Linked DNA regions of Bombyx mori. The protein of the gene in region 1 purifies or fractionates together with the protein of each later gene. This does not show direct contact. Links are inferred from orthologs where the notes say so. Each region holds a gene or a part of one and is shown on either strand. Other genes may lie near its edges.

Region 1 (3,650 bases):
ACGTTCTTTAGTAGTTTTGAAAATTGATATGTAATTTAGTTATAGATAAATGAATTTCTTTTTTACAAAAGAATCACGATCAGAGTCAGATAGAGACATTAAAACATGAATGTGTCAGTTGCGTTGCAATAACGACAAACCTGCCCTTAGGACTTAGAAACCACGTTCCTTCGAGACAGAAGTGGGCCAAAGGATTTCATTATTTTCTTTTTTTTGGGTTCATGACGCGACCTTCCTCCATTCCTTACTGTAAGAAATAGGGCGAAATAAGATATAGATGTAATTGAAAAATGATGTAGACACATTACTTACAATTATTAGCACCTAGTAGTACTTAGAGAAGGTCAGTGTAGTAAATATAACCAGATCTTCAGATTAATCATGTAAAGTCGTTAATTATATCAGAAGAGCAGGACGTTATTCAGATTTTCTTAAAGAGATACCCTAAGAATTATAACTAATCTGAATATGCAAAACTAAAAATATTCGTACATTAAAATTAAAATTCTAATCCTAAAATGAATGTTTATGGTAAGAAATATGTAGATATTGATTTTGAACATGCTTTTATTAGTGTGATATACGTATATATGTAAAGGAATATTGAATGCATTTTTCTAATCACCATTTTTATTTATAACACTTATAGAGATTTATTTTCTTCTTTTTAGATAAGCTAGCTACAAAAGCGTTTTTATTTATAGTTTTAAACAATTATTTTTTCAACACTTGCCTGAATATTTACTATATAAGTATTTTTGTGACTTATGCGTCGGTTATGAATGCTTATGTTAAATTGTCCTCTAGACATTTCCAATCGTTTCATCGATGTTTGGACGGAGGAAACCCAGAGAGGGCCCTGTCTCTCGGCATGACAACAGATTCGGAAACATCGGATGATGCCATGCGCCTGGTCGACCGAATGAAACAGCTTGCAAGATGCAATCCGGTATGTATAGAACAGCACCAAATTCTGGGTTTCCAAACCTTTTTCACTCATGAACCATTCTTCAGTTTATTTTATTAGCTAAAACTAAAATGCCACTGGAGCGATGAAGCGGAGGAGATGCTAATGACGTCGACTATGAACGCGTCAATCAGGTCAAAGTCCCAATTAAAGTAATCTTAAAATCTTCCAACCGAAACTCATAACTCTTAGTGGTGGTAGGACCTCTTGTGAGTCCGCACGGGTAGGTAGCACCGCCCTGCCTATTTCTGCCGTGAAACAGTAATGCGTTTCGGTTTGAAGGGTGGGACAGCCGTTGTAACAATACTGAGACCTTAGAACTTATATCTCAAGGTGAGTAGCGCATTTACGTTGTAGATGTCTATGGGCTCCAGTAACCACTTAACACTAGGTGGACTGCGAGCTCGTCCACCCAGCCAAGCAATTAAAAAAAAAAAATTGTTGCAGTTTACTTTGGGAGCGAACAGTGCTGCTCGGTTTTATAATGTCATCTGTCTTTTTTTTTTGCCAGCGTATCCCATACAAGGTGTAGAAATTAGAAATGTTTGTTGTTCAATGCATTGTTAATTATATCGAGCGGACGAGTAATTTCAATAAAACACTGGCCCCAACTAGGATTATCGGTACTACGGGAACTGACAACCTATGTACTCTTATATATGTACAAATAAAGATATCAACCAATCAGACTGAAAGCAAACAAACCTATTCCTTCCAGAAATCTTTGCCCAATGTGGGAATCAAACCCACGTCTATTTGCCTTGGTACCACCCTGTCAGTCAAAACCTAACTATAAACTTAAACCTAACTAACGTAAAATTAAACTTTTAACTAAATTAACTTAAATTTAAATCAGAAGGTTGCGTGTTCATATCACGTCGGGGTCACCACTGTGGTTTGTCATTTTTCTCCGTATTCGCGGGAAATTTTCACTCGGAATAATATATCAAAGTTAAACACACTATTTCAATAATACTTCTAATTTTCAGATGTATGTACATACAATATTAAAATATAAACAAAAATGAGTAAACGACGCTAGACGATACTAAATTAACTAAAATCTCGATTTTATATTTAAGTTAAATCGGCGCACGAATCTTGTTGTGATGACGTCACGGGACAGCTGCGCGTTCGGGAATTCCGATCGCGCCCGATGATACCCGAGTGCGACTCGATATTTCAATGTTCCACGCTACAAACTTAAAATTTAAAAAAAACATGAAATAATTGTGAAAAAAATAATAATACATAAATACATTTGTTTTCAGCCTCCCATCATACCTAGTCAGAACCTGCGTCAGTTGATGCCCGCAACAAATTTACCAGTAGCAAAAGTCACGAAAGAGAAGAACAAACTTGTTATTGTACAGCAAAGCAAGAAACACTGACATTTAATTATGTTTTTATTTGTATTTAATGTTACTTTATTTTGTATTTTCATGTATATTCTTATTTTAATTTTAAAACTATTGATGCACAAAGAATCAATGCAATTATAAAGTAATTATGTACTTTCATTTTTATGCCTCATGTAAATATATTTATGCATATTGTAAGACTGTTTAATAAAATTAACATTAACAATTTTGATGTTTTCGAGGTTAATAAGGCGTATTGTAATTCAAAATAAATTCGATTAGGAAAGACGTTTTGTTGGATTTTTTTTCTTCCCATACCGATAATAAGTATTTTTTAACTTACAGTTATTACCAGCAACACGCGTAAGGTTAGTAAACATTTTTTTCCAATAATGTCTACATTCTATCTGATTCAACTAATCTATATATTAATACGTGAAGCAAAAACTTTGTATCCCTTTTTACGAAAATTGCACGGACGGAGGAGTATGAAATTTTCCACACTTCTAGAGAATATAGAGAAGAAGTGCACAATGCTAATATTTTTTTAAAATAATGCCTAAAAGATACATTACATCAGTAAAAAAACGTTACACACACTACATATAGTAATCGGCAAACTTCTTGAGCAAATGACCTTGACTGCGCAGAACCGAATTTTAGGTCACTTTGGTGGTGAGGGTGAGGCGGGCGGGTGACGGCAGGGGAAATCGTATCGAGCGCGTTATTGGTAGATCAGTCGAACCTTTCGTCCCGCACCGCGCCTTCATTCCGCTTGCTCCCAAAAGTACGCTTGCGTACAGTGGAAAGTCTATCGTTATTAATCGTTAAGTTATTTGTTATAATTGCTTGTGGACTTTGTTGCCATTGCTATTTGTTGAGTGTTTGTTGATTTTTTATAAAACATACACTATGCCGTGACAAACTGGTGTAGTACTTAAAAGAAAGGGTAGAAAATTTGTGTACGACGTATATTGCTTCATTATAAAACAGGGGAAGAATGATATGGAAAAATTAAAACAGACTTCGGAAGCAACAAAAACATCAGTGAGTGTTAGGTGCATTATTAACGAAGCTAAAGGCTCTGGCTTGCTCGCCGTGTTTCGGACTCCGGGTAAGAAAAGATCAGGGAAGAAGAAAGTTACCGGAATGGATAGTTTCGTTCAGTCTGTAATAAAAAGATGTAATCATAATAACTACATAACAAGCAGCGAAACTCCGTACCGTAGAAAGGCTTGGAAAAATTTAAAGAAGATATAAATTTTAATGGCTCGGAATGAAGCTTACGACGAATTATGAAAGAGCTAGGCTTCAGATGGAAA
Region 2 (5,334 bases), on another chromosome or scaffold:
ACGTTGTAGATGTCCATGGGCTCCAGTAACCACTTAACACCAGGTGGGCTGTGAGCTCGTCCAACCATCTAAGCAATAAATAAAAAAAACTGACCTCAAGAAACGTCTATGAACAAACGTCACATTCAGACCTGTAGTGAACACGTATCTGGCCAAGGCCTGCAAGAGAGCCGCCGGCCACAGCGGGGGGTGCTCTGCCCCGTCAGCCGCGAGCCGGAACGTCAGCTCGATGCCGCAGCCAGACGGCAGGGGCGCGCCCGCGGACAGCGCCGCGCGATCCGGCGGAGGGTGGACCCTCCCATCCCCGTGAAGGTCTGACAGACCGAAACTGAAATTGAACTAATGTTATAACATTCAAGTCCCATGAGTTGTAGTCAACAATAATACAACACCTCAAACCTCAAGGTGAGCAACAACTGGCACTTTTGCAGTGTGGGCTTCAGATGGGTAAGCACCTGGTGCTTTGTGAGCTTGTCTGCTTATTAAAGAGAATCAGATGAGGAATGGAAGCAAGCTCTTGTGGCGGGTAGTCATCATATAACGCAAGATATTTGACAGATGCCTGAATCTCGCTTACGACATTTTCAAGATAAGCTCGCATATATACAAGTTCCGAACAACAACATTAGGACCATCGGTCTATCGCGCCAATATCCCCAGCTCAGTGGAAGATCTTCCCTTTGTCGTTTAAGCTTCCTACACTCTCAATCTCATATCTTGAGGTTTGCTGCAGCATTCATATTGAGGCTACCAGCACCCTTTACCATTTAACATCAAATGAGCCCTAATCAGTTGTTCAAACCTGATAAAGCAATTCGGATACACAATAACTTTACCAAAATTTCATTCAGACATAGCTATTAGAATTGCAGGTGAAAACCTAGACACCTTGGAAACTTGGTATAGTTGTGATCAGCTCTTGAAGGAAGGTCAAGTTGTTATATCACTTTGAGTACTTACTGTATATCGATGTAATTCATTCTAGTTACAGCAGACTTAAACTGGTTAGACTTCATTCATTAACTTATCATTTGAAGCTCCTACCTGATGTAGTGCCAATGTGGTGGTATATTTTCCTCCGGTTTCCCTGGGTTCCGGTACATGCTGATGTAGTCTAAAGGATCTTGTCCTCCCAACCTGAGACAGATGTTTCATTATTAAGCTATTGCATAGCGTTTATCGAAGGCTTTGAACGCGGCGACCGAATCAAGAAAATCCGTAACGAAAATAAAACCTAACACCCCCACTCCGCCTACCATGTAGCTTCACGTTGCGCTGGTGTAGGGGTTTGGAATAAGCGCGTGGCGTGACGTCGCACTGCATGCAAATCACGAAAGTCTGCCCATCTCTCTCTAGCGCGGTCTAGCTTATGAGTGTAAAGGGGACAGTTAATGTTTTGCTTTTGTTAATGTTTATAAATATAGCGTGGTCTTATTTTATTATTGTTTTAATATTAAATTATTATTGTCTAATTGTAATTGCATAAGTTGATAAGAAATGGTATGCAATAGCTTTACTGCGGCAGTCCCCGTGGGCTACACGGGTTTTTTTACTTTATATAATAACTTGTACTGGTGGTTAAGTGTATTGTAAGTTCACAAGCAGGCAGATTAGCCCTTCAAACCGGAATGTGTTCATTAAGAAATAAATAAGGTACCATTTTTTTTTGTGAGTCGCAGTTATTTCTTATACTACTTTTACTTTGAGTTAGGTATTGTGACGGTCGAAATCCCAAATGTCGAAAATAATAAAAGAAATACGATAACACGAAATTATAGTGTAAAAAAGAGAAATCTGTAAAAAATTGCCTATTGCCATAGCAAAGCACTCATGCTCAAATTCAATGAATGGGGCAGTTATTAAAATATTCAATAAAGTCTTCTACATTCATCATAAGCTAAGTAGGATTGGCGTTGTGATCTCTGTGGCCTTGAGCGATCAGTTCACACCAGGCAGCACCACCATTGTCGTGTTCTGCTCTAATCAAAAAGGGATCTATCCATTTATTTTCCCTATCAATTCGGTACATAGATAAACTCACAGGATCAACTTGAGAGAATTCGTTAACACCAGCCCTAGGGAGATTTCTTTGCAATACTTTGAATCTACCACCAAATCTGCATTGCGATCCACTAACAAGCTTCGGTGAGAAACTTAGTGGAGAGCCAGCATCTATGCCTAACTACACTACTATTGCGGTTCCTTACCAATATTTGAGCCTGGTCGTGACCTGCAGAGGGTTAGGCTGGTCTGGGTACAGCTGGGAACAAGCATCACATAATGCTTTCAAGCCAGCCGGAGCTACTGGTACTAGTTGTTCTGAAACAATTTAATTGTTCACTGATTTTTGGTATATTTAATGAAGAGGCACTTGAAATTACTACACTATGGTAACCACCATCAGGCTGTATGCTTATGTGCCTAGAAGGGCAATAAAAAATAATATTCGAAAATAGTCTAAAAACTGAGGAATAAAATACAGGAATCATAACAAAAATTTAGAAAGTGTGAATCAATACTAGATGAGCATTTAAGCTCATTCATCTAATAGAATGTTTGAATCCACCCACTTTAATACTATGTTTTAAATATTTTGGAATTTTGGGAATGCGGCAATAAAAGGTATTTTGAATACACCTAATACCTATGTTTATGCCCTGTGAATACTAAAAAAAATACTATACAACAACTAGCTACTGTCAGTTAAGAGTTTTGATATTATGTTCTTATGTGGTATTTATAAGAAAATTTCGGGGTAGACGTATGTGCGCTGCACATCCATGAGCACATCCCATAGCTATAGTTAAACCATATATTAATGTTCTGCTATTGTTCTGTTTGCGTTTGATGTCTGAGAAGCGCATTCGTTCATTTTTATAGAGTTGTTACAATAATTCCACAGGGGAGAAACTAGACTCTTGAAATTGTTATTTGGGATCATAAACTATGTAAATAAACAAATACCAGATTGTTTGGCATCTTGAGGTTTGCAAGCGTCATTTTCCGGTCCATGAACTCGCTGCGCAGACGCAACGAATGACAGGGCACTGTTGCAAGGCACCCCCGACGAATGAGGAGCCCTTGGGCCACTCGGACAGGACATAGCTATGTTATTCACAATTTACTTTGTTTCTGCATAATTCATTGAATCAATAATTAAATCAATTAAGAATCACTGACTCAGCTGTTGATTCCTGAACTAACAGTATTCCTATGCAGTATTCAGTCAGACTTTTTTTGATGTACGTAGCATGTACCAGATTCGAATTGAGAAAGAGAATAGAAATTAGGTTTGTAATAAATAGAAGAGTGACATGAAATGAGCAAACGGATTTTTTATGTTTTATTATGTACAAATTTTGTAGACTATGGAACATGATGGCGGATTCCTGAACGGTTTTTTAAGCAAAAATTAGCATGGAAATTGAACAAATCACAAAAGAAAATACATTTTCGGTTACATAATGAATTGCTCAACACAAATGAGTTATTAAACCAGGTTATTAATTTTAATGACGATCTACAGCTATGAAAAGACGCAGGAATTCGTCAGCTGTGAGTAGTGTTTGATCTATCGACCTATATTAGGCATATTTTTTCTAATGGTGAATTGACGATGCCGATTTCCGATTAAAACTACAATGATACATACAATGACTAATTATTAGGTACGTAAAAATTACCCCACCACCATTCCAAACTGATATTGACAAACCGCAAACAGAATTTCTGAACGATAATCTCTAACCATAAATTTCGGCTGTAAAAAATAAATCACGATTTTCACACTATTTATATTTATTTATGTCTCTAAACGACTCATCCGTGATCTATAAATAAACTATTAAACGCAAAACGCCATTCGATAAGAATTATTTGAGCTGAACAACCAAGTCAATTCATAAAATGCGTTACATATATTTGACTACTATTTTCAGTGTTGTTTTTGCCTTTGAAAAAGATATAACTTTTACTGTTCAAGCAGGAATGACCGACTGTTTCTACCAGAGAGCACAGCCGAACGAGTTAATAGACATAGAATATCAGGTACACTTAATCAATTCGGAAACAAAACTAGAGTTCATACTACGAAAAAGAGTAAATTTTTTCTCAATTCTTTGCATTCAAATGCTTTAAATTCCAGTTTATGAACTTAGTTGAAACGTTTTAATTTAAGTCATAAGGTTTTAACTTAATAAATGAACGTTCGGTTACAGTGGTCCAAACTAGCCTCTAAATATGTGAAATCCGGAGTAAACTTCTGATATAGGTGTGTACTAGCAACTGGCTAATCGCTCGCATCATTTAACTGAGGAAGCCAATAAAAAATGTGATTTGTGTTAATGATTGGACCTGTTTTTTTCATTACCTTATGTTGATGACCTTTTGCTCACTTTAAGTGGTTACAGTAGTCCCTACGTGACTCGTAACATTGAAACCTCAACAGCACAAATACATCAATTACATCCTAAAAATGGAACCTGTGATTACTCTTCAGAAGGATAAGGAATAATATCAATAAGTACCTCTACATTCCTGTGCTTCTGTGCAACATATCCTACCATCCTAGAAAATTATTTTAACTTGTTTCCTAATCTTTATATGTATGCAAAATGTATGTTAAAGGTAATAGATGCAACACATGGTGAATTGGACATATCATTTCAACTCACTGACCCTGTTGGACGGGTAATAGTCTCCGACTACAAGAAGCCAGAGAACTCTCACAGGCATCAAGCCACCTTAAATGGAGACTACAGATTTTGTTTTGACAACACATTCAGCACGTTTAGTCAGAAAACTGTAAGTAATTTATTGAGATTGGACCTTGTCCTTTGCCATTTAAAGTGAAAGATTGCCTATTCTGGAAACACAAATGGTGGCTAAACATTGGAACTTAGGGAAGTGTCCCAAGCTTATGGAGGTGGCTTATGAATATAACAAACACTACCAATATATCTACATAAAGCAAATCTATACTTAAAATATTCAAATCATAAACGCTTTAGTGTTAATCTTGAAAATAGAAACAAATACGGTTTATTACTTTTCAACACCATAACCACTGCTATTTAATGAGTTCTTACCACAAAAATTACATTTCATGACAGTTTTATGTGATATTTTACAACGTTTATGTTTTAAACGTGTTGGATTATTGAAAAAAAAACGCGCAAAACTCATTCTATTACTTCTATTGTATACTAACAATACTAAAATAATTACACAATATATTTTATTTATTTATTGCCTAGATGTGTGGACGAGCTCCCTGCCCACCTGGTGTTAAGTGGTTACTGGAGCCCATAGACATCTACAACCTAAATACGCCAC

What was found. Proteins that work in one complex are often made in the same cells at the same time.
Region 2: the proteins of kinesin-like protein costa (region 1) and suppressor of fused homolog purify together in Drosophila melanogaster (affinity purification with western blotting; 3 studies listed by BioGRID, with this or other methods). This does not show direct contact. The link is inferred for Bombyx mori from reciprocal best matches to the Drosophila melanogaster genes cos and Su(fu).

The regions. Positions count from the first base shown.
Region 1 is NC_085118.1:7,785,352-7,789,001, reverse strand, and holds the end of kinesin-like protein costa, read left to right. Parts: intron 1-807; coding exon 808-949; intron 950-2,238; coding exon 2,239-2,358; 3' UTR 2,359-2,616; downstream 2,617-3,650. UniProt on the Drosophila melanogaster protein: Regulates cubitus interruptus (ci) processing by recruiting multiple kinases to promote its efficient phosphorylation.
Region 2 is NC_085130.1:19,123,943-19,129,276, forward strand, and holds the start of suppressor of fused homolog, read right to left. Parts: upstream 3,249-5,334; 5' UTR 3,104-3,248; coding exon 2,965-3,103; intron 2,320-2,964; coding exon 2,208-2,319; intron 1,138-2,207; coding exon 1,045-1,137; intron 329-1,044; coding exon 132-328; intron 1-131. Other genes in the region: transmembrane emp24 domain-containing protein 5, read left to right, coding at 3,907-4,047, 4,627-4,803.